3 linked regions of the Drosophila melanogaster genome follow. The protein of the gene in region 3 interacts with the protein of the main gene of each other region in a pairwise test. Each region holds a gene or a part of one and is shown on either strand. Other genes may lie near its edges.

Evidence for each region. Proteins that work in one complex are often made in the same cells at the same time.
Region 1: the proteins of Gsc (region 3) and bsh interact in a two-hybrid assay, tested with the Drosophila melanogaster proteins (one large-scale study listed by BioGRID).
Region 2: the proteins of Gsc (region 3) and CG13516 interact in a two-hybrid assay, tested with the Drosophila melanogaster proteins (one large-scale study listed by BioGRID).

What each region holds. Positions count from the first base shown.
Region 1 is NT_033779.5:19,763,234-19,772,067, forward strand, and holds bsh (brain-specific homeobox), read right to left. Parts: upstream 5,835-8,834; 5' UTR 5,697-5,834; coding exon 5,254-5,696; intron 4,782-5,253; coding exon 4,507-4,781; intron 4,118-4,506; coding exon 3,815-4,117; intron 3,396-3,814; coding exon 3,127-3,395; 3' UTR 2,543-3,126; downstream 1-2,542. Other genes in the region: fbp (fructose-1,6-bisphosphatase), read right to left, coding at 193-214. UniProt on the Drosophila melanogaster protein: DNA binding protein that function as transcriptional activator. May play a role in the determination and function of cell types in the brain.
Region 2 is NT_033778.4:22,666,209-22,673,164, reverse strand, and holds CG13516 (uncharacterized protein), read right to left. Parts: upstream 4,021-6,956; 5' UTR 3,566-4,020; coding exon 3,310-3,565; intron 3,242-3,309; coding exon 3,112-3,241; intron 3,021-3,111; coding exon 2,900-3,020; 3' UTR 2,543-2,899; downstream 1-2,542. Other genes in the region: RYBP (ring and YY1 binding protein), read right to left, coding at 1,222-1,535, 1,920-2,058; CG30269 (uncharacterized protein), read right to left, coding at 4,411-4,516, 4,850-5,178; CG30273 (uncharacterized protein), read right to left, coding at 5,470-5,575, 5,647-5,782, 5,839-5,983.
Region 3 is NT_033779.5:589,710-597,477, forward strand, and holds the start of Gsc (goosecoid), read right to left. Parts: upstream 4,977-7,768; 5' UTR 4,672-4,976; coding exon of another isoform or gene 4,498-4,671; coding exon 3,879-4,497; intron 2,925-3,878; coding exon 2,563-2,924; intron 1-2,562.

The DNA of each region.
Region 1 (8,834 bases), about 19 Mb from region 3:
ACAACTGAAGCGGGGTTTTATTTTGGAGCAACTGGTTAAAAATATTTCTGGTCAGTGGAACAAGTTTGGGCAGTGCAGGCGGGCATAGTATAGATATGGGTGGGCCATAAGGAAAGCACATTGGGGCAAAAGGAGCTGGGCAACATTGGAGGAGCAGGAGGCAGGAAGCAGGAAGCAGGCTACTTCACTTACAATCACCGCTACTGGCCGCCATTATTGGTTATATGTATGTAGTTGCAGTACGCTCTGTAAATGGTGCGGTTCCTGTGGGGATCCATTAAGGTGGAAACAATTACCAATTTAGTAGAACTTAGTAGAAGGGAGGGGGTTGTGCTCCCCTATCGGAAGGTCAAATCGGTGACCTCGTTCTGTCTCTAGTGGTTTTTTCGGGGGCTTGTTGCATAAAAAATCACTATCAAAAACTTGTCACTCTGATTATGCATGTTTTTGTTTGTGTGGTTGTGGTGTCTGGTTGTTATTTTGTATTTGACTGGCTGATAACCTGTTTGCTCTACAAAAAAAAAATCGTACAAATGTGTTATGGAAAAATATATAGAACCACAAAATAATATTTCTGCCGGCAGATCTGATACATCGACACGTGCCCCCTTATTTATTTTTGGAACGTCTCCGCGTAGAACCCGATTAACTGAGTATATATGAACGCATAGAGTATAAGTAAACATAATATCTATAGAAAAGTATACGTATATCTCTATTAATCTTCCATAGCAGTGGGAGATCTAAATGACTTTCAGACGTGTCCTTAACGCCGCCATTGACCTCAAACATTTGTGGAGCTTCCCCGAGAACCCAAGAGATGCACTTTCACTTACAACAAATCGACAAACTCTGGCAAACAAACAACGAACCGCGGTCGACGGCTGATCTAAAGAGACTAATTTTGGCTTTAGTCCACGTCCACGACGACGGTGGAGAAAAGCCAGCGAAACGTCACTGCCGGCCACGCCCTATCAGAGGGTATATGCACTTGGTTCAGTTGCTTGGAGCATAACAATGGGAAATAAGGAATAATAATATCTGATGATCCTAATGAGGATCGTATATGGTACTGTACATATATTCACTGTTACCTAAACATTTATAAATAAAATTAGGGATGTATATTCCTAATAAGAGTATAACTAAGCTATTATAGATTATTAATTAAAGTTGAAGAAATCATAAAGTATTATAGAAGAATATACTTGATATATAATATAAGAAGATTCTTTTAATGTTTTATAAAAATTCAGTATTTCCATTTGTTTATCATTCGTATGATCTAACTGAACTATTATTTAAGTTATCGGCAATAAAAGTTAGTGAATAGAATGGTCGGCTTTCTCATCCCTTCTCCTACATTTTGTTTTGTTTTCAACGGCAACTGATAGCACGTAAATAGCATACACACGGAAAATGTATATAGAAGAGAGAGCGGAGTGGAAGAGAGTCCAAGTCCAGATGGGGAGCATAAGCTGCAGACATATGGCTCCAAAACTAAGAGGGAGCCACATATGAAGAGCGGAGGAGAGTGGTCAGGCTTACCGATGAAAATGCCATCGTTAAATGCTTCACTGTGAGAACATTTTAAACAATAAGTATGATGTGAAATGGTCCATGAGAATACGAGTTATACTAACTAAGAGTCTAAAATCAAAACATTTATTGTGATTTTTATTGCCAACCTCTTAAAATCGAGGGAGGCTCGTCTCTAGCAGTTTATTTCACATTGAGCTTATCAATAGCAAGATAAGCCCAAGAGTACTACTTATTAGTTTCTGTATTCACTGGGAAAATACAAGTGGCTAAAGCGACTGCGACTTGTCATTGCTTCGACCTTAGGTTGTATATTATTCCGAATATTATTAATTCGCATGTTTACCAAGTTGAGCATAACTCAATACACACTCGAAATTTATATAAAAAAATACATATTATTAACAAGCATATGTACATATGCCATTTAATCGCCAGAATAGAATTGGAATATGCTTCGTTGACGTCAAGAAAAGTCTTAACAGTCCAAAGTATGAAACTAAAAATGATAACTTCTCTCAACAAATAGATCCATGAGTTTTGATGACTGCAAAGGTATCTACATGTATATAAGCATATGGAACTCCATTCCCTCCAAGACTCATTCTTAATCGGGTAAACTATTAATATTTTTTCGAGAGCATTCCTGCTAACCCGTAATTACCAATCAATTTGAAACATTTAACTTTTACCTCCTCACTCTATTCCGCACTTGACAATGGGTGTCTCACTAAAATGGCTGTCTGAAAACCCGCAATTATTTTGCCATTGTTAAGTGCATTTCCATCCACCCCGATTCAATCCAATCCCACCCGCTTCCGCCCGCCCACTTGGGCGGCAGGACATGCGCAGGGCGTGGCAGTCGCCAACCCCATACATCAGTATTCCCGCTGCTTAACCATATTAGTTGCTACTTTGTGTTGTCAATTGGATTTGATTGCCCGGCGAGGGGGCGGGCATCAAGCTACACCACCCACCCACCCAGTAACACTTCTCCAGCATTCGCGTAATTCGCTCCGTTCCGTTTATTGTAAGCACTATGTTCTGGATAAGAAGTCGCAGGGAACTAATGTATCTTAAAATGGAAGTTCTCGAATACAATCACTAAATTTGATTAGTTATTAGACTTAATACATGACTAGAAAACTCGTTCAAGAACTCGTTGGTATTTACACGGCTTTTCGATTCAATTCAAATATGTATCTGGGGGGAAATACAACTATAATTATAGCAAAATAAATATGTTTCTTTTGGACAAGATCAAAACAGCTAGAGTAGCTGGATGGTATCTGTTATAATCAATCAATTAATTCAATGGTGAAACTGATGGGTAAGTTTCCACAATTATAAGGAACTATAGTTCGTACTAAATCGTAATAATAGATATTTTCAAAATGGTATAACCATGCTCGCGCTGATAATATATGTGTTGTTTTGTAACTTCTGTGCTTGTCTAATAGAAAAGTCATTTAGTAAAAGAAACTGATATTTTTTGATTTGAAAATCTCTTTTAGTTGTATTTCCCCCAACTGAAACACCGAAAACTTTACTACTTTAGGATCCAGGTCCACATCCCGATCGAACTGTCTATGTTAACTGGTAGAGTTTCGCATCGCCGACGATGTCCACGTCGCTGGAGTTGTCCTCGTCGCCACTGTCCGCCTCCAGATCGGAGTAGTCATCCGTGGAGTAACCCTGCTGCATCAGGCACATCTGCAGCTGCTGCTCGCTCGTCGGCTGAGTGGGTGTGCCGCCGACAGATCCGGGATTCAGTTTGCCGTGCTTGGAGTCCCCGGATGAGGAGGTGGCCTCGCCCGGCTGCTTGCCCGGTTCGCTGCGTGAGAAGTCGACGGGCTCTGCGGCATGGAAGAGTCAAAGAAATTTCCACAAAATTTAGAACTAATTTGATTTGCGTTGAAACTTGAGCAAAACTTTTTGCATCACAAGGAGCCGGCTAAAAGCCAAAAGGTCTAATTGATAGTCCAAAAGTTCCTCAAAGAAACTACTCACTCCAGTGGTCTAGTTTTTGGTGCTTTGTGACCAATTTGAAAACCGCTGACCACTCCTGCTCGAAATGCCTTTTGACAATTTAATTGCTAACTCAAATATTGCATTGTCTAAAAGCTGGAAAACTTGAGCAACTCTTTTTCGCTCTAGTTGTTCTTAACAGCCCAGAAAAGGTTTGAATATTAAATAACTTGATTTGAGTATTATAAATTTCGTAATATTTAATTTGCTCATAATAAATTTGTGATTATGAAATCAATATACTCACCATTGGCATTGTCGCGCCGGCGCAGCTGCTTTTTGTGCTTCATGCGGCGGTTCTGGAACCAGGTCTTCACCTGCGTCTCGCTGAGTCCCAAGGCGGTGGCCAGCTCCACACGCTCCGGCGTGGACAGGTATCGCTGTCCCTCGAACCGCTTTTCCAGACCGGACAGCTGCGGATCACTGAACACCGTGCGAGCCTTCCTCCGGCGGCAGTGGCGCAGGGCATTCACGCCCATTCCCAGTCCGAGGGCCAGTTCCGGCACACAGCCAGGCGCTCCGAAGAAGGGCGCTCCCCCGAACAGGCTGGCTGAAAGGGCAAAGGATGCAAAATTTGGTTAACTTCGTTATAGTTGGAACAAATGAAAACTTTCGGTGTTGATGGCCATTTACACCGAATATTTCGAGTTTTAGTGCCCCTAAATGAAGCTATGTGGCAACAAAAAACTGCACTTCAACATCAGTTGTCCTACTAATTTGGGTTTCATTTTGAAAAAGTTCTAAATGTGAAATTAAATGTTGTGCTGGCTTTTTAATGAGAATATGTCCAACTTCATTTTCGATTAGCTAAACTCTAGCTAGAATTGACTTTTAATTTCTATGAGTTCGACTTTAACTTATTACCAACATGTTTGTATGTACCAGTACAAATCAGAATCATCTAGGAGGATATCTCTGTAATATCGAGCATTAACTCACCTTGTGATAGAAAATAGGGATCCACGGACTTGTAGGTGCCCGACGACGGCGAGAGATATCCGAGGGTCATTTGAAGAAATCCGTGATCGGTGTAGGGTGCATTCGGATAGAGTACTCCATTGGATGCACCACTACCTCCATTCAGGGGCGGCGGAGGCGGAGGTTGAGGTTGAGTCGTGGGCACCGGCGGATGTTGTGCTGCTCCAGATCCCAACTGCTGCGAAATCTGATCTCCGTTGTAGTGGGAAGTTCCGTGTCGCGAGTGGTGGTTGGACCTACGAAGCAAGTGGTTCAATTAGGGGTCTATTGGTATTTCGATGTTAAACTATTCTCTTTATGTCCAATAGTGATTTTTATGCTAATATGCTTAAATACAAATATATATTCCCAGATACATTAAGCTTTATGGTAAGCCTGATTTCTATGTTTCCAAAATATCATTTTTCTTACAAAAAATATTCTATAATTTAAAAGAACATAATCCAAAGTAAGATTTTAAAGGTGTATGCTATTCCAAAATATTTGTCTTCAAGAAGGTGTGACTATCTATCGTATTTGATGTTTCATGTTTACTTCTTATTCTTTTATAAATTCACTTTGTTAATATTATCTTATTTTTTATTTATTTTTTTTTTATTTTAATTACTTTTTTTCACTTTTCTATGCAATTATATTGGCTTAAAATTAAAGTTTTTTAAACTAAAATTTCACTGCAGTAGTATTAGGCCTTGGAATTCGGAAACCAACCGTGGAGTGCTGTGCATGGACTTGCCGTAATCCTCGCCAGCGTAACCCGACGCAGCCTGGTTGCTGCGGGCAGTAGCCGTCGCGGATGCGGATGCGGACGCCGGCGGATGTGACTGCGGCGGATGCGAATGTTGCGACGGATGTTTGTGCGGATTATTGTCGTGGGCAAATGCGCTTCTGGCACTTTTCACCGCGTTTCTGCTGCTCTTTGGCGCGTAGTTGTTGGTGTTTGCGGCGATGCCGTTGGTATCACTACTATTATTGTTATTGCTGGCACTATTTAAGTTTTGAAACAATATGTGCTCGATGGAAAACGGCGTTTTTGTGGTCAGCATTGTGGTGGCACTGGCCATCGCCGCCGCCTTGCTGTGCGTGGGCGTGGTGGCGTTGGCATGAGCATGTGCGTCCGCAGGACTCAAGCTGGCCTCATTAAGCATTGCCATTGCGCTGGAGGATGGCCGAGCAGGAGGAGCACGAGGAGCAGTGATGGAGACCGGAGCCAGGAGATGTGCCAGCCAGCCGGGATATATACGTGTCCTTGGACCGCGCGCGCGCTTATGTTGTTTGCTCGTTGACGGTCGCGTTGAGTTTGCGGCAATCACCGCACATCAACCAGCAAATTGCTCTAAACGAGCTGCCAGCAGACATGTGCGAGCGAGCCGGCGATATGGTCCTGCATCCTGCGAAAAGGGGAAAATCGAAGGGGGGGAAAAAATGCGAGCGCAGGCAGTGCCACCCCCTCCTCAATCCGGCTGCAGTTGGCCCGCTTTGCGGTGCCCGCTTAGAGCGGCAATATTCGGGGAATCCCCGTAAGCGGGCACATGAACACACCCCTCGATTTGCATGCGCATAGGGTTGTCCTGCTCTGGCAGGATTTTGAGCACCCATCTCTCTGCTGGCATCCACTGGACATGCGATTAGTGCGGAAAAACCTTAGTTTAATTGACCCCCGTTAGCCGCAAATAAGTTGCACAACTATGCGTCCTTGCTCTGCCGCCATTTTGCGAGGCAGGCACATCCTGCCACGTCCCCAGCCGCCCATTTGGCACCCACTTGTCATAATTAACGTGTCACGGCCGCCATTGTTGGCTGTCTGGCTGATGATGTGCGTGCATTAAATGCCACAATTATTATAATTGAATTAAACAATCGATTCTGCTGCTGTGACAGGATAATTGCTAGGTGGAGCCAGCGCAACTGTACCCGCTGGGTTGGGGCCAAGCATTCGCCTGCTTTGCATTCAGATATTTTTTCCCCGCGCGGTTAATTGAATCAGAGCCCCACATAGCCGTACACCACCCACCAAGGACACCCGGCCCCCTCCGCACCCAACCAAGTGACACCATCGAAAAAGGGGGCGTGCCTCCTTTCCAGCAAGCCACCAATCGGCGAAGAGCTCGCCGAGGGGTTGCTTTCGCAACTATACTCGTCCTGTTTCGTCCTGTTGCTTTGAGAATCAGTCTTTCCTCACAGCGGAAAGTCCTTAATTCCTTCAGAGAGAGGGAAATATGGGGGGGGGGGGTCTCCACAAACAGAGCAGGAAGGAAGGACAATAACGAGACATCGCCGAGAGAGAAAAAGCATATGACGACGATGCGACCAAAAAGCAAGACAAATTTGCTCGTTTTATTAATAAAATAAGTCACGCAAACTAAGTCGAACGTCATTATTAGGTTAAAGCCCTAAAATGGGCGCATTAGGATGGCATTCGAGTGATCGCGGTGATGGTTGGGTCTGCTTGGGGATGTGCTGCCCTGTTCCTGGGCAAAAATATCTCAGCTTCTCTAAGGACATTGGGGGGTTATGGGGTTTGTGTTAACGAATAAAAATATTTAATTGTATTTAAAAGATATTAGAATAATAGTACTTAAAAGTGATAACCTAATTTCAGAAGTGCTCTACCAATTTTAAAATTATTAAATTAAAAAGATATAAGATTCATAGTTCCTAAAAAGACAACGTTTTTCTTTTAATATCTATTTTATAATATTCTTTTCATTTTCTATAAATCTATTTTATGAAATCCCATCTAAATTAAATTTTAATTTAAGGGTTGTATACCTTAATAATAAATATATTTATTATTATTATTTATTATTTATTATAAATATATTTATTATTACATATATGAGAAATAAAAACTGATATTTATCTTAGAGAAAGAATATTAATAGAATAAAATATCTCGAGACTATAGTTACATATAGTTTAGAGCTCCATAGAAGTGGAAAGCTGGAAAAAGGTATCCCAGCCAGAGATGAGCACTTCTCTCACCTGGCCGAAAGCTCTTAACTGGCTGCTCCGCCTCCACATCCACCTCCTCCTCCATGGACTACTCTTCGGTGTCATCCATTGTTAACCCGCTGACATGAACGTGCCAAAGGGCCTTTGTGAGGACATATATTTTGTTCAGTTCTTTTTGAGTCTGCTCGGTGGCGTGTCTACCTTGCGTTTTTTATTGATTTTTCTCGCTAGGTGGAAATCAGCGGATTTGCGAGCAGAGATTCCCATGGCCAACTATGAGGGCAGATCATATTTTTGAGCCATCATTTAGTCTGCCTAATTTCCCATTGTTGCACGTGCCCCGTCCGACGGACTGAGCCTAATTTTTATAATAATAAAAATGCTACTACGTCTGGGGCATCGAATTGCCAGCCACTTTGCGGTTTAAGCTGAAGGAGGGTGCTTTTCCTTGGGGCAATTACAACATTTTGTGTCAGTTTGTCTGGCAAATCCTTCTGCGCTGTCTACATGAACGTCTCCTTGCCTCCTTTTTTGTGTTAGCATAATTCCCTGGAATCAAAGCTGAAGTGTGTCACCGATCAGGTTACATAAGCCATAGGTCGCGCTCGACCTCGCAACAGGGGTGAATATTGGCGGCACATTGCCTCAGATCCTCTTTCCGCATTTAAGTTTGATTCTCGGTAAATTAACTTCTGATACAAGCAACACAAACTTGAACATCCTTGCGGGTCCTTTGTTTTTGGGAGCAGCGCTCAAGTGGCTACATCCTTACGCAACCTTTGTTGTATTGGATTTTTGTTTTTTGCTAATCCTTCAAGGATGAAAAAATCGTACTTGTAGTTCCTGTTTAAGGATAATTGAATAACGAATTCAATTCAGCTCAAGCTAAAATTAAAGTTGCTTATTTTTACAAATTGATGCAGACTTCCTTTACGTAATGACTTAAAGCTACAAATTGAAAGTCTGCCAAGACTTATCTAGTTTAATCAATCTGATCAAAAGGCAATGCGATGATTTAAAAAATTGTAGCATTAAACTGCAATTATAGCTCGATATCACCTGAATCGTTCAAAGCTATTAATAGAAAAAAAAGATGTTCAAAGAAAACGCTTGGTCTTAATCTATGGTAAGAATGTATGTCATTATAACATAATTTTTTTTAAATAATTATGCAAACTCTGCCCTTGTAAGTATTGTAAGTATTGACATGATGCATCATAAATGTTACTAAATTGTCGCCAATTTCAATATCAGGGATTATGCAGTTTCATTGTTACTTTTTTTTCATTTCCTACTGACAGTATACGAGTATTTTCACCAATACAAGAAAGTCTGAA
Region 2 (6,956 bases), on a different chromosome or scaffold from region 3:
ACGCTTTACAATTGGAATTCAAGTTTTAACTATCCGTGTTGTCGTGTGAGTGCGGCTTTAATTGCGTTTGCTTAAGTTTTGTCTTTGTCTTTGTCGTTGCTGTTGATTAATGCTCAACTGGCCAAGCATTTGGAATACAAACTGTTCATATTAATTGTACATGTTTACGATAATCCAAATTGAAGTTTGTCTATTGGAAGTTGTTTCTTGACTACAGTCGGCAGTTTCGAGTGGGTGTGTGTTAGTGTTCATGTGTGGCTAAATAATCTATCTCAAAATACAAATATCAAGCACTTTATAAACCATTATATCTGTTATCCAATATTAAATACAATCGTTCATATCAAAATTCATGTTTTTCATTGTTTGCTAAGTAATTATTGCTATGGTGGAAGAGCGTTTAAGCTCTGCTAAGTACAAAATTCTCTTTTTGCGAGTTCGAGTATTCGTCTATTGTTTGCTGGCTGTGAGGCTATCTCGGGTGTAAACCAAAAGGAAAATCGGATTCGGGCTGGGTGCGTGTGCGGACCTCTCTATATCTGGTTGGTAACGCTTAATCAGTCTTGTATACAAACAAATTAAAATTAGCAAATTGTCTACAACCAAGCTACGTGGCTCTCTTCTCGCTACACTTCGTTGTCAAGCAGCATTTTCTAGTCAAAAAAAAAAGGGCAGTTTATAATAGTTACACAAACCATGGGGGATGGGCGCTGCTAGTGGAACATTGAGATTAACTTGCACTTAGTTAAACCATATTTTAATTCGACACTTACAAAACAAATGATATCTTTGTTGAACATGTACACGGCGGTTATACATAGTTACCTTTGCATCAATAAATTAGGAATTAGAGTAGCAGAATTAAATTACAACTAAAATTACGATACGAGACAGAGATATTCAGGGAACTCATGCATCGCTATTTACAGGGTCTAGCGCATTTTAAAATGGGATTTGGAGAGCGTCGTGTAAATGCAATCGACTCGCCGTCGCTTCGCTTTGCTTTGCCATCTTGGCCTGGGCTGGAAGTCATGAACTAGTGGGGGCTTGGCTTTCGGGGCTTTAAACGTGGCCTAATACTTGGTAACTTAAATGGATTTCGATTTACAATTGTTATCGCCAGGGGCCTAACACTTAGAATTTACAACTTGTAACAGGGGAGCGGGAACCGTGGCGTAGAATATTGGGGAGCTGGGGGCGAGGAGGCCTTGTATCCCTCCTCTAACTCCGGCTGTCGTTGCTCTCGCTGAAGCTCTGCTCACTGGATTCGCGTCGGCTGCTCACCGGCTTGGCCTTGTACTCTGTGATGAACACGGTCACCGAGTTGACCGTCACCTCTCGCGTCTGTGCCGTCGATCGGTCCACGTTTTTCAACCGTGCCGGATACCGCTTGTGCCTCTGCCGGTCGTGCCCACTGCCATGCCGTGATCCGGAGGCGGACTTCCCGTTGGGCATGTTGACACTGGCTCCTGGCAAAGTGGCGGCCTGCTGGGCGACTAGCGCTGAGTTCAGGCGTGGCTTTCGCGTGGAGGTTCCTAAAAAACAAGGGTGTATAGTCTTATTGAGCGCACCAAAAATAGTATATAAATAGTTTAAAATTGTTTCAATTAGCATGTTTATCGTTTCGAGAAGTATTCCCGGTTTCTGCGCAGTGTGAATTTATTTATTCTACGTAAGCAAATCGATACCATCGTTGGCCATCTAATCAACAGTCAACAGTCTTTTTTTGACTATTACTATCTACAGTTCAACCAGATATATTCCAATATTGTTAATACCGATGTGTGTGTATCCTTGTAGAAGGATAAACAAACCGATCCATGACACATGATCAAGAAAGCGAAAATCGGAACATGGCTGGCAATCTGCTCAATCTTGGAACTCGGAAGCGAAAACGAAGCAAAATCGGGGTCACTTACCTTTCCGCACGTCGCACATGCGACACTTGAAGGCCTCCGCCGAGTTTCTATATGTGCAGACGCTGCAGTCCCAGAAGTTCTCCTCGATCACCTTCGCCTGCCGCTTTTGTCGTCGCACCGGCGAGGATTTCTTGTCCATAATACAGGAGGAGAGGAGGAACGCCTGGGCGCCGCTGGAGTAACCGCAATCCAATCGAATCGGACCAAAACGAATCCAATGAAAATGCCCGACTTTTCCCTCTGCCACCGCCTCTGCCTCTGCCCGCCCCTCTGCTGATCCGCTGCTGCTGCTGGCCGTGTTCCTGTGATGTTTGGTTGCTCTGCTCGCACCTTTGCCACGCTCACGCACACACGGTGGCCTCAGTGGAGATTCGCTGCGCTTTTGGCACGCATTTGTTGCTTAATTGGAGCGTTTTCGGTGGCTTTTTGTTGTGAAAAAAACTTTCTGCAATTGTCTTTTTGGCTGCGGCAACATTGCCATATCGTAGAAGTGCTCAATGCCAGGCTATCGATATTTCGATAGTAGCGCGCAGCCAGTGTTGGCTAGCGTATGGTGCTGATCTGGCAACTCACTTTTCGATTGGGCGCCAAACTACGTTTATTTTGAAATGTGGCTTGTCATTGTTTTGTGTTTGCATTTTATTGTGAAGCTTACGCCCACGCTTTTATTTTTCTAGCCAGCCAAAGGCCAGCTGCTTCAGCAACAATGGGAAGGTAAGCGGTTTTGCTTATGTTTACTATAGTGGTGCTTATGGGTAAAGAAGAATTTGGGAAACTTATTAAATTGTTTTTAAGCTACCTCACATATGCTTAAATGACCAATGATGATTCTTTTTGACGCCTTGCGCTCTAGCCAATGGCCTATGTACATACAACCTTAATTTAGCCGCTGGCAAGCATCAGCTGCGTTGTGTTTACTTATAACTTGTATCTGTTCTGTCTGTCTAGCCCCCAGATCACGTTTTATCTTGGCAGTCTTATCATCGGTTCATCCCCTTTGGATTGTAGGCTCCCAGGAAGGTGTTACACTTGCGACAATAGTGGTTTCCAGTGCGGCAACTGTTCATGCAATAGGGAACAAAACAGGCACAGCAGCAGAATCTTTAAAGAGGATGAGACATGAAATATATAAATTTAAGATAAATCAATAAGCAGATAAACTCTACTCCTTTTTATAAGAAACTCAACTTACCCGACCAAACAGAGGAGACCTGCCACCATATGGGTCCTGGAGTTAGCCGTGTGTGTCATCCTCGTAGTTTTGTTGGCTCCACAGGCTGGGCAGAGAACCCTACTTCGATTTGGACCCAAGTGTAGAGTATCTGCAACAGCAGGGAGTGACGTCAGTAGAGCTTCACAGCCGAACTATAACTATGTGCAAACTACACACCTGTTGGAACCACTGTGGGTGGTTGTGGGGCTGGCTGCTCCACGACAACCACTGGCGGTGGTCGTGCTGGGGCGATTGCTGGTGCGGAAACCGCTGGAGCCACCGGAACAGACACCGCCACATCGTACGACGGAGGAGCCTCGATGGGCAGGCCGTTGGCGATGGGATTGCCCAACTCCCTCGTTGGCGTCGGCGAGGGGGCCGTCGGGGCGTTGAAATCCACTTGCGGATAAAGCATGGCTCGCTTCTGATCCATGGTTAACGCACTATAAAACCCTTGCTCTAGTGCGAAGTTCGGGTATGGTTTCGACTTATTAAAATGACTAAGAGATTCTGGTTCTCGCTAAGCGAAAAAAAAAAGTTGTTTACTTTGCGTATTTACAACTAGACGGCGTCTTTTGCACTTCGAACGCCGCTCGCAACTGCCAGCGAATTTGGATCCAGGTAGAGATTCAGTTTCAGTTTTTTTTCGGCTCAGATCGGAGCGAGCTTGGAAAAGCTCCCATCCGGTTGAGCAATCAGTTTTGGGGCTGTTGCAAAACCGAAAGTATCTCTCGAATACTGTTTACCGAGCTTTATCTAGTGCACACAATGATCTTCATTGTTTATCGAACTTATCTCAGGTACGGGAATAGGATGTCCGATAAAGATACAGATAGCCACTTCAGCATAGTCAGTAATTAGTTAGGCTTTTGGCAAATAAAGCTGATATATAGGATTCCAAGGGCGTAATAGTCAGCAGAGTATAATTTAACATTAAGCAAAAAAGCTTTCAGCAATTAAATCGAAAAAATTACTGAATAACTTAACCAAGAATGGCCTAATAATTGAAGTTAAAAAACCAGTTTACTTTGGTTTTTAAGAGCAAATTTAAAATTAAATATTTAGGTCATCAATAATATTATACTTATTTGAAAACTGGGTTAATTTCGCTAACACAAAATAGTAATTCTATGCCACTTTAAAGCTCTTAAAGCGTCACTTGTAATGACGAAATACTTCGCTTTAGTTCAGTTTGCGTGCTGCAGTCCATTTATTAACTAATTACTTGAAGAAAATATGTACACATGAACAGGTCGCCCCCGAAACATTTTTGGTTGCTCATTTGCGATCGTAGGTGCCCAAATAACGATCGCACATGCCACAGTAGTGATTGGTGTTCATGCAACTGGAAATGCAGTACGGCAGACACACACAGCAGTACAACCTGTAGGGAAGTAAAAGAAAAGGAAGTGAGTCACCGACAAGTGGATTATACACCTAATAGCCAAGGTCTATTCTGTGCGATTATTGCTGGCTAAGACTATCATTTGATGTAATATATAGCCTTTGTTTCTGATGCTAAGCTACTAAAAATATATCATAGATATGAAATGAAATCAAAAATACATATATAAATACAAAAGAGTGCTCTCTGGTAAGGAATGAAATTTATCTATTCTATGCTATTCTCATTCCGAATAAATTGAGCTTTTTCTGTTTCGAGTGCCCAAAGTGGGCTACTGGCCCACACACAGTGTTATCTATTTCGGGTACTCACTGGAACAGGCATAATATCAAGGCTATCAGATGGGTGCGCGAGTTGGGCTTGAAGGAGACCCGTGTCCGGGCGTAATTGTGGCAGTACGGGCACTGCACGTCCATGGGCTCCGGGCCGTACGGTGAACCGGGCACCACGACGACCGTGTGCTGTGTGGTGGATGTGCTCGCTGGAACTGGAGCTGGTCCCGTGGTTTCAGCCGGAGTGGTTGTGGCCTGGTCGTAACTGGGTGGAGCCGGTGGCAGAAGGTGTTGTTGCTCGGGTGTCGCCTGCAGCTCGACGGATCCCTTGGGCGCCTCCAAGGGTGCAGCTGGATAGACGGAATCCATGATATTTTGGCCCAACTGGGTGTGTGAATCGCTGGAAAATGACTCAAGGGAGCGCCGTTGGAAAAAAAAATGTGTCTCGCGTATCGCGTATTCTTATCAAGTAAAGCCAAAAGCTTGGCGGCCCGATTGTTTACCCCATTGGGGAAATTTCATCGTACAGCTGTCGGTCTGTGGACACCTGACCAAAAATGTTCGCATTCGTGGATGATTTTGTGTGTGGGTGTGTTGAGGTTGTGAGCGTTGATCGGTTCGATTTGGTTGGGTTCGTTTGGTTTTGTTTACTCCGTATTACTAATCGCTGTTGTAGACGCCGACGAACTTATTGCAATTGCCGCAAAAGTGATTGGCGTTCATGCAGCTGGTGGCGCAGTAAGGCAGGCAGGCACAACACCAGAGGCTGTTTGTGATTTTCCACCAGAGATTAGATAAGATGGTAGCACGGGGCTGGTGAGAATCTGCAAATCTTACCCAACGATGCATAGAATGGCGGCCATGCAGTGAGTTTTCACACTGGGCGAGTACTCCACGCGGGTCAGTTTCTGGACATGGCAATGCGGGCAGGTGATGAAGGTGGGATCCGGACCCACCGGCAATACAGCTTGATCTGCAAGTCATTGTCAATGTTAATCTTATGTCTGTCACATTGAGAAAAAAACCCACGTTGTATGATCACCACGGGCGGAGGTGCTGTCGTGTGGTGAACCACCCGAACTGGCGCCTGCACGTGCACCACCTGCTCATAGCTCGGTGGGGGCATCTGGTGGGGATAGCCCGGCGCTCCCGCCGGCTGCTGATTGTACTGCATCTTCGTTTGGTTGGTAGTCACGAACTGAAACCGAGTCTTGCGTTTCACTACTCTTGCGACTGCTGTTGCGCAACATTGTTGCTGGCAAAAGCTCTTTGTCGTAGCTTTGTATCTTGTTTGCATTGCTTTTGAGCGCCAACCAAGTCAAGCAACTTAATTTGTTGAAAGCGAGAGTAAATTCGATTGTCAATTGAAATCATGTTCAAGGAAGGAGGAAAGCGCAGTATTAAGTACTGGACTTTTAAATCTTGTTTCCTTCAATCGCCCAAGATTTTATTATAATTAACTAATGATAATCCAGGTTAAAACTAGATGAGCTAATACAATTACATATCTAAATAAATATGCAATTGACAATTTTGTCGTGTGCTGTGCAATAATGTCAATACAGATAAGAATGATTAGCTGAGTCAAGAGCAGTTATTGTACTTTACTTATTTATTTTATTAATAATATTCTACATATGTGCATACATTTAATCAAATTATTGAAGTCTTTAGAATTTGCATTACTCATCCAAATTATCACTAACATTTTTATTTATCGGTTGTCCGCAGCAACAAAAGGATCTAAAATAAGACAAACTTGAAACTGTATTTCATCTGGACGAAGGCAATCTTAGCTCAAGAATAACATACAGCGTATTAAACCACAATCTTTGGCTCCACGACAACTTGAAGTCCTCGGAATTAAGACATACTTGGGACGTATCTTTTGCTCCAGAATTCGGAATTGTAGCCTTCGGTTCGGATAAACTTTTGTAAACCTCCGCGGACCGTCCTTTGAATGCTGGTGTGCTTTTGCGTGGCATCTTTTCAGAACTAAGTTCATTTAATCTTCTATTTATTAAGCCTCAAAACTGTACTCCCGAATTCTAGGAACAAGTCCAAGCTGAACTGATAAGGCCCCACTGTTATCAACAAGCTTTTCTCAAGAGTATTTCTAGTATATCGAACAATTCAAGATGCCGGAA
Region 3 (7,768 bases):
CGGATGATCCTCGAAAGAAAGGAGGCAGTAGGGTGACAAGCCCTTTTCAATTTTCAATTCCTGGCCAAAACAAAACGACAGTGAGAGAAAACAGCAGACAGCAGACACAACAGAGATCAGTTCACAATGGAGTGATGGGAGTGATGAGTGGGCACATTCTTCTCGGTTCTCCACTCTCTCTATAAGTCTGAGAAGGGGTAACATCAATATTTGTGGAGTTGAGCGATCGAAAGGAGAGAGGAGCACAAATTATGCCAAGCTGATGATTACTAATTTCTTGGCGACGACCGAAGACAAATATTTGAAATGCCCTCCAGCCCAGCCATTCCTCCTCTACATCCCAAGCTACATATATCCCTCCATATCTGGCTGATCGGAGAACGAAATCACCTCGATCACTTGAGCTGCGGGATTAGGCGTATTTGACTTGCACGCACCACAGAAGCCAAGGCGAAAAAAGAGAGGCAGGCGGACAAAGAGAACGGGCTTGTTTGCTCTACAGGTAGAGCTACTGTTTGGCGTTCCAATCCCATACAAACCAATCCGATCCAATCCGGCTCGATCCCAAGCCGGCCGACCCTCGCCTCGAGTGGCTAAATAAAAATAATAATTGTAAATTATGAAGTCAAAATAAGCAGATCATTTAAATGCCGAACGATCCCAGGATGGGAACTGAATAGTTACGAGACGTTGGTCCGGAGCTCTGGTGTTTGTTTTCTGGTACTTTTGGTATGCACTTAGCTATATCTAGACTATATCCAAGCCTAACTAATAGACGTAACTTAGTTGCCATGTTTGGCTTTTGGTGTGTAAATGGGTAGCCTTTGGTACCCAATTGATCATCGACCGAACGGACTCTTTTCCGTTAGAGCATCGGATGTGTAGGCTTCGAATTTGTTCGCTTTTTTCATTTGTTTTCTCTTTTGTTATTGCTGCTGTTTGTCTTAGGCAAGATTTTCAATAATTATTGCCACTTATGGAGCGGCTGGGGTCTTAGAGAGACGGTCCCGAAATCGGGGGGCTCGGAGGCCTCGAGTGGCAACTCTTGGCATGCAAATATGCTAAACAGTAGCAGTCACAAAAGCCGGGGTTCCGAGTTGGAAGCCAGACCTGAAGTTGATTATGCTGCTTAAGTCAATGACGAGCGATGACTGAGCACAAGATTTGCTTGGGGATTGGGATTGCGATTGCTGCCGTCTCTTTCCTCATCCACTTTGCTTGTCAGAGACAAGTTTGAAGTCTCTTTTTGTGTGTTGTATGTTAATTAGTCGCCCCCGTGAGCCAGCAGATTCGAGTCCGCTGAATTCCAATTAGTTGAAGAGCTGGAAAATCTTCCCCACCTCGGCTTTTCATTTGCTTATCCTATTGTAGAACTCCTCCCGCCTAACAACCTCGCAACTTACAACTTACAACCTGCATTCTAATCCGCTTTGGATTCCAATGCTCGCCGCGGGTTAAATTTGTCGCCTAATCAAAAAGCGGGCGTCAATTCGCCTGCGGGTTGAGTAACGCCACGCCTCTCATTATCCTAAATGGTTAGTAATGTTAATGTGTAAGTTGTCTTAGGCTCACGGCTAAACATAAGCCCAAACCCTTCGAGTGTCAACAAATGTCGCACTTGTCCGCCTTCCTGCGCTGCGAAAGGTGAGGGTGAGATGGGGTTGGATGGGTTAGATTAAACATTTGACCGGTTGACAAACATATTGCCAGGGAAACGAAAACTAAGGGGGCCCGGAACCCGGGGCCCGTAGCCCGGAAAGCGTGGATAATCCTCATCAAAGACGCGAAATAGCCACCCATCAATGCACCAAAAATGTGAACAAATTAAATTGTCAACTTTTGTCGTCACTTTCTTCCTTGGTGACCTCTCAATTTGTTTGTTTGTTGTTGGGTTTCCTCGACACTAATGGACTTTGAATCACAATTGCCGATGTTAAAGGGATGGTTCATCCCCCGGGGTGGGATTTACAAGGGCGCAGAAGGCGGAATCCCTGCATATTTACATTACCAATGATACGATTCAGCAGTGGCAACCACCGACGAGCAAATAACCCTCACCATCCGTTTAAACATGCGGTTGTATCCCGAGTCCCATTACCCAAATTAAGTGAATCATTGGGATTGGCATTGTTTTGCTTTCGCCGGCGAAGAAGCCCCTCAAAATGTACGCCGCTGACAACTAAATAAACAAGTAGAAGTTCTCAGAGGGAGAATCTCGCTGGAGAGAATAGAGATTGCGATGCAGATGCCAGAGATTCGGATTCGGAATCTGATTCTGGTTAAGTGGAGTGTAGAGGAGCGGGGGTGTAGCACTCAATTGGTTTCACGCGGGGAATTAAAACGAGCGTGAAATTAGAGCCAAATGTTAAACACAGAGTGTGGGCGGCTGCTAGGAAGAACACAGTGATCAAAAGCTAAAGCCAGGCATTGATTGTTTTTTTGTGGTGACAAAGCGGCCTTAAAAAAATTACTTTAAATGTCTATAAAGTTATGCTTTAAACTTAGTCTTGCCCCCTTTTTTACACCTTCTTCGGCATTAAAAATTAGAAGCTTTAAACTCACCTCAACTCGTTCTTCTTTGAGATCCACCTTGAGGGCAAGTTGCTCCCGGAGCACCACATCTGGGTAGTGTGTTTTGTCGAAGGTGGCCTCCAGTTGCTCCAACTGCTCCTCCGTGAAGATGGTGCGATGGCGACGCTTCCTCTTCGGCGGAGGTCCATGACCCAGATGGCTGAGGTGGTGCTGTCCGTGGTGGTGTGCGCCCAGATGTGGATGGTGGGGGTGCCCATGGGGGTGGTGCGGATGGTGCCCGTGACCCGACAATCCAGCGGCTGCTCCACTCACATGTGCCTGCATCTGAGCAGCGGCCACATGCGCCACCGCAGCAGCGTGCATGTAGTTTGGATAGAAGTTGGGGTACGCCACTGTAGGGAAAACAAAAGGAAAATTCATTATTCCCTGGTTGGAATAACAGTCATATCATCATCATATAACTGGAGAAAAGAGGGCCACGGGAATGGGTGTAAGTGGAATATTCCTGGGTAAATCCTTAAAAATGCGCATAACGAACCGCGCAAAATAAAACTGCCGCCATTTTGGCTTACAGTAGACACAAAAATGGTATCAGTTCAAGTAAAATGTAAAACTATTTACCCTCTTCAGCATATGTTGTACTTGGAAAACATGTAAATATCGTTACGAAGAATATTACAATGATATATGGATAACATATTGCAAAAACGGATCTATTCCTTTGACCCCATCTGTAAACGTATGTGTGGCTTCCGTTTCCGGTTGCAGCAAGCTGGGGAAAAAAGTTGCGACCAGGTTTTTAATATTCATGTCCTGCGGGGGAGCCTTTGAATGAATTTAAGCGGTATTCTGCATAAATCTGCGCCTGAGATCCACGCTCGAATCAACACAAGGCCTGAGCCCATCTTAAAGCCACCCCAGCATCCCGGATTTCCCTGGTTTTTCCGGCCCAAGCTAAGACTTAGAGCCCAATGCAAATCCTCTCACCGCAAAATCGAAGGAAAATGGAGAGGAAATGCGGAATCATCTTTCACGGATCATTGCCTAATTATGAATAATGCCATTCAGGACTCGCTTCGGAATGGGTGTGGTTCGGTTGAGTGGGAGAGGATGAGGATGTCAGGATAAAAGTGGGTGAGTGGCTGAATGGGTGATTCCTGACTGCATGAGTGAGCTGCCTTAAGGTGATTTCAGAGTTTAGATGCATGAAATAAGGTATTTCAAAATGTTAAAATTTCTTTATCTAAAGAACCATCCTTTGAACTGGTTTCGTCTTAAGTTGTCTTCATAATGAAATTCAGCTGAGGGGGCTTGTGCGTTCAGTATAGGGGGATTGATAGACTTACCCAAAAAATCCGAGGGAGAGGCGGCAAAACCGCTCGCCGCTGCAGCCGCCAAGTGACCCAGATGCAGGCCAGGATGCTGCAGCATGGCAGGAACCCTCTGCGGTCGGATGGGACTGGCGGCTGCGCTAGAACTGGAGTTTGAATTTGGCGAGGCTGGGGACTCGGCGCCACTTCTTTTCAGACCCAAACTGATGCCATTCGAGGTGAGTCCATTTTGGTTGCCATTGCTGCTGATGTGGCTGCCTTGGCTTGGAGCGGTGCCTCCACCCTGTTGGCGAGAGCCCAAAATGCTGTCGATAGTGAAGAGAGACGCGGCGGCGGCTCCTCCTCTTCTCTCCTCTTCCAGAATGGTGACACCTGACTGGCTGCCATCATCGGAGGACGGAGTTTGACTTTGGGACTGCTGGTGTTGGGCGTGCTGCTGCTGGAGGACCGACTGCAATCGCTGGCCCAAGTAGCCGCATTGCTGCGAGTTCAGGAGCATGGCGGTGGTCAGGTGATAGGCGGCCGTGTTGCCAGGAGATCGCGAGATCTGCCTTGGAGGCTGCTGCTGCTCGCCGAGATCGCTGGGCGACCTTTTGAGGGTGTAACCCGCCGGCGGGGAATTTGTCTCTACCATTTGTGCCAGCATAGATCCAGCCGGAGGGGGCGTAGGCGGCGGGGAGGGGCTGGGCGTGCTCACGACGGTGATCTTGAACTTGGCCTTCGAGGGCGGAATGTCGGGCGTGGTGCTGGGAGTGGTGGTGGTGGTGCCTCCACCGCCTCCTCCAGGGGTCCACAGTGAGGAGAGAATCTTGAAGAAGTCTATGAAGCTTTCGAGTAGGAAAAAGTCTCTTCCCCACTGATTTTTTTTTAATGAAGCGGCACTTTTGAAGCACTAAGCGCTTTACAATTTTTTTTAATTCAGTAATGGTGGCAATGTTGCGAATATTAAGTCTAGGTTTTTTTCACTGGATTAGTGTGTTTTGATCGATGCCAAGTTCACTAAACCGCACTAGAAACACGCACTGCAATCGCGTCGTGATTTTATATTTTATTATTTCCACAGGTTTTCTGCCACCGGGAACCCTTCTTGTCCGCTCGAGCTGCGAAAGTGTTGTGAGAGCGTTCCGCCCGACAAGTTGTCGATTGAGTAGTCGTTAGGCCAGTTCCTCGACAGATATAGATACAGACTCTCAGATGCCAGATACAAACTCACATCTGCTCTCTCGTTTAGCGGACATTTTTCGACGTTGGCCAATGAAATCGGGGTGAAGCCACGCCCTCAACGCTACCATATTGCTTGGCAATACTCTCTGGCTTTGGACGCCTCTCCCTCTCTCTGTATCCTCCCTCCCTTTTTTGCTTTCCCTCTGTATCTCTTTCTCTCGCTCTAGCTGGTGGTGGTTGATGGTGTCGGGCCCCCATCTTGCAGTGTTCCAGGTTAAAGGCTGGCAGGAGGTCCAGGATAAAGATGGCGCTACAGAGATAATGCCCCATTCACCAGACCCCTCCTTTTCCACCCAATTCACACCAATGCTTCCATGTATTTTTTTGTATTTTTGCGCTCTCTACTTACTTTCTTTGGCCACTGACAGTTATTTATACAGATAAAGTCATCACTGACAGACCCCGCGGCCCCCACAGAAAGAGATAGCTGTCGAGGGAGCGATAGAGAAGGGAAGCGGGTGCGCAGGATATGGCAACAGAAGCTCTCTCGCTTTCACTCAGAGTGAGTAGCAGGGGTAGCATAAAAATGCTGATGGAAATTATGGGTGGCAAAAAGCCTGACGCTCTCTTCTCGCGTTCAGGGGATTCTGATACTCCACTGCCTCTGCTGGCGCCGTATCTTAAGAAGATAATGACTAAATTAATGCTTTTATGTTTCTGGCAACACATAAACATCATTATGCGCTCAATCCGCCCACGGAGAAGCGCTGCTCTTGCTCTTTCTCCCTTTCTGAGCTTTATCTTTATCATCATTCTTGCAGACGTTGGGAGCTTGAAAAGGGTTAAGGGGTGAACGTTTTATGTAGAAAGAAGCACGCTACTACTCGTACATAAAGATGAAGCTTACACTGGAGGGAGACTGGGAGCGCTCATTCAATAATCTACGGCACTTTGGTGACCCTCGTCGCTATTGTTTCACCTCGTGTGTGTGCATAGGAAAATATTTTAATCTAAAGTTTCCACATCAAACATGCCCAAGTGCAAAATCCCCAATGGCCGCCAGGGTTCGTTCCCTAGATATGCCCCCCCTCCTCGTCCACTCGAATGCAGGAAAACAAAAGCTAAGCTACGACTAATGATAAATGCAACTCTGCAAACCACACCCACAATCACAAATGGAAATCCAGCCAGGAAAAGCAAATGAACCGAAAAGTCCTTACAATGTCACCTATGTGGGGGTGAAAAATGGGGATCACTTGGAGAAATAATTCCCAAGTAAGGTCCATCTTTACATACTAACTAAACTTAATTCTGCTAGGAGAATCATGGAAGACGAGGCGTTCCTGATAAATTATCAATCAACACTGACTACTAAATTGGGTGGTTTCGAAATATCTTTAAATAATAAGAAAGTATTTAAAGGGCACCCAAATCGCTCTGTGTACTAAGATGGACAAAGAGGAGGGGTCCAGGGAGGGAGGCTTACATAAATGCAGATGTTTTAGTGTGTGTTGGGGGTATATGTGTTCAACTGATTACGGGGGCGCACGGAAGAAGAGGGGCGGTCCTGTCACATGCCGTAAAAGGATGAAAGGATGACGGCTGATGACGTCGCATGTGGCCAAATGCTTTTAGAAATTATTGAATAATTAAGCAGGCCAAGGACCGCAGGACCAGGATATTTCTGGTCCTCTTTCCCCTCCGATTCTTAGTGGATCCTGCCGCCCAGTTTTCTCTGGGCTTCGCTATTTGCCTTTACACTGAACTTCTTACATGGCCAACAACTCCCGACGGGAAAACCGATGATGACGATGTTGTAAATGTAAAGGAAATATTGAGTTGAGAATGGAAAAAGAGGAGGAAGCTCTGGGAGTGCGCTTCTCGCTAAGCTCAAAAGATGTGACGCACTTTTTTCTATTATTTTCCTCACAGAATTTGTTCAACTTGTTTTTTCACATGAAACTTTTTGTTGCCTTTTCTACCTACTCTGACCTCTGACCTGAATTCTTTCCCCACTTGCTGTGCACTTTTTGTTTTAGTTCGCAGATTGAATTTTAAATAAAAAATTAAATTAACTTGTCTAAGTATTGTATTTGGCTGAGTACCACTACCCCTTCGATTGGCTGTGCGAAAAAGTTCAATTGGCAAAGGACTAAGCAAACATTGTGGAATAAAAGGTTTTTCTACTTTTCCATTTGAGCGCCGGAGAAAAAGCGGGAAAAACAATGTGGAAAAAACCATCATCATCTTCAACTTTTTCTTGGCTCCCTCCCGATGATGATGATTTTTATTTCGATTTTCTGTTGCCATTTCTCTTTGAACGCCCACGGCCACATTTTCCAGTTGTGCAAAATTAGAAAAGTTTTCCCTGCTCTCTCTCTTTCTCTCTCTCCCTTTCTCCATGATTGTTTCCCAGAAGCGGTAAAACCGGGAGAGATGGAAAATAGACGGGGGAGGGGCGTGTGCTTTGCGTATTTGTCTTGTTAAAAATTTAAGCGAATTTCCTCGAGAAGCCAAATCGAAATCAGCAGCAGAATCCGCACCAGAATCGGAATCAGATTCTTCGGATTCAGCAGCCAAATCCCGTGCTGAGGATTTGCGATTGAGGCTGAGTCGCCTGCTGCCGACATTGATATGGTAATGAAGCTTCGACATCGGAATCGGGCTCTAATCCCCGCCAGCAGCAGCAACCCCTGGATATGTCTCTATATGGTCACACCGGTTTTGCTCAGCAGTCAATT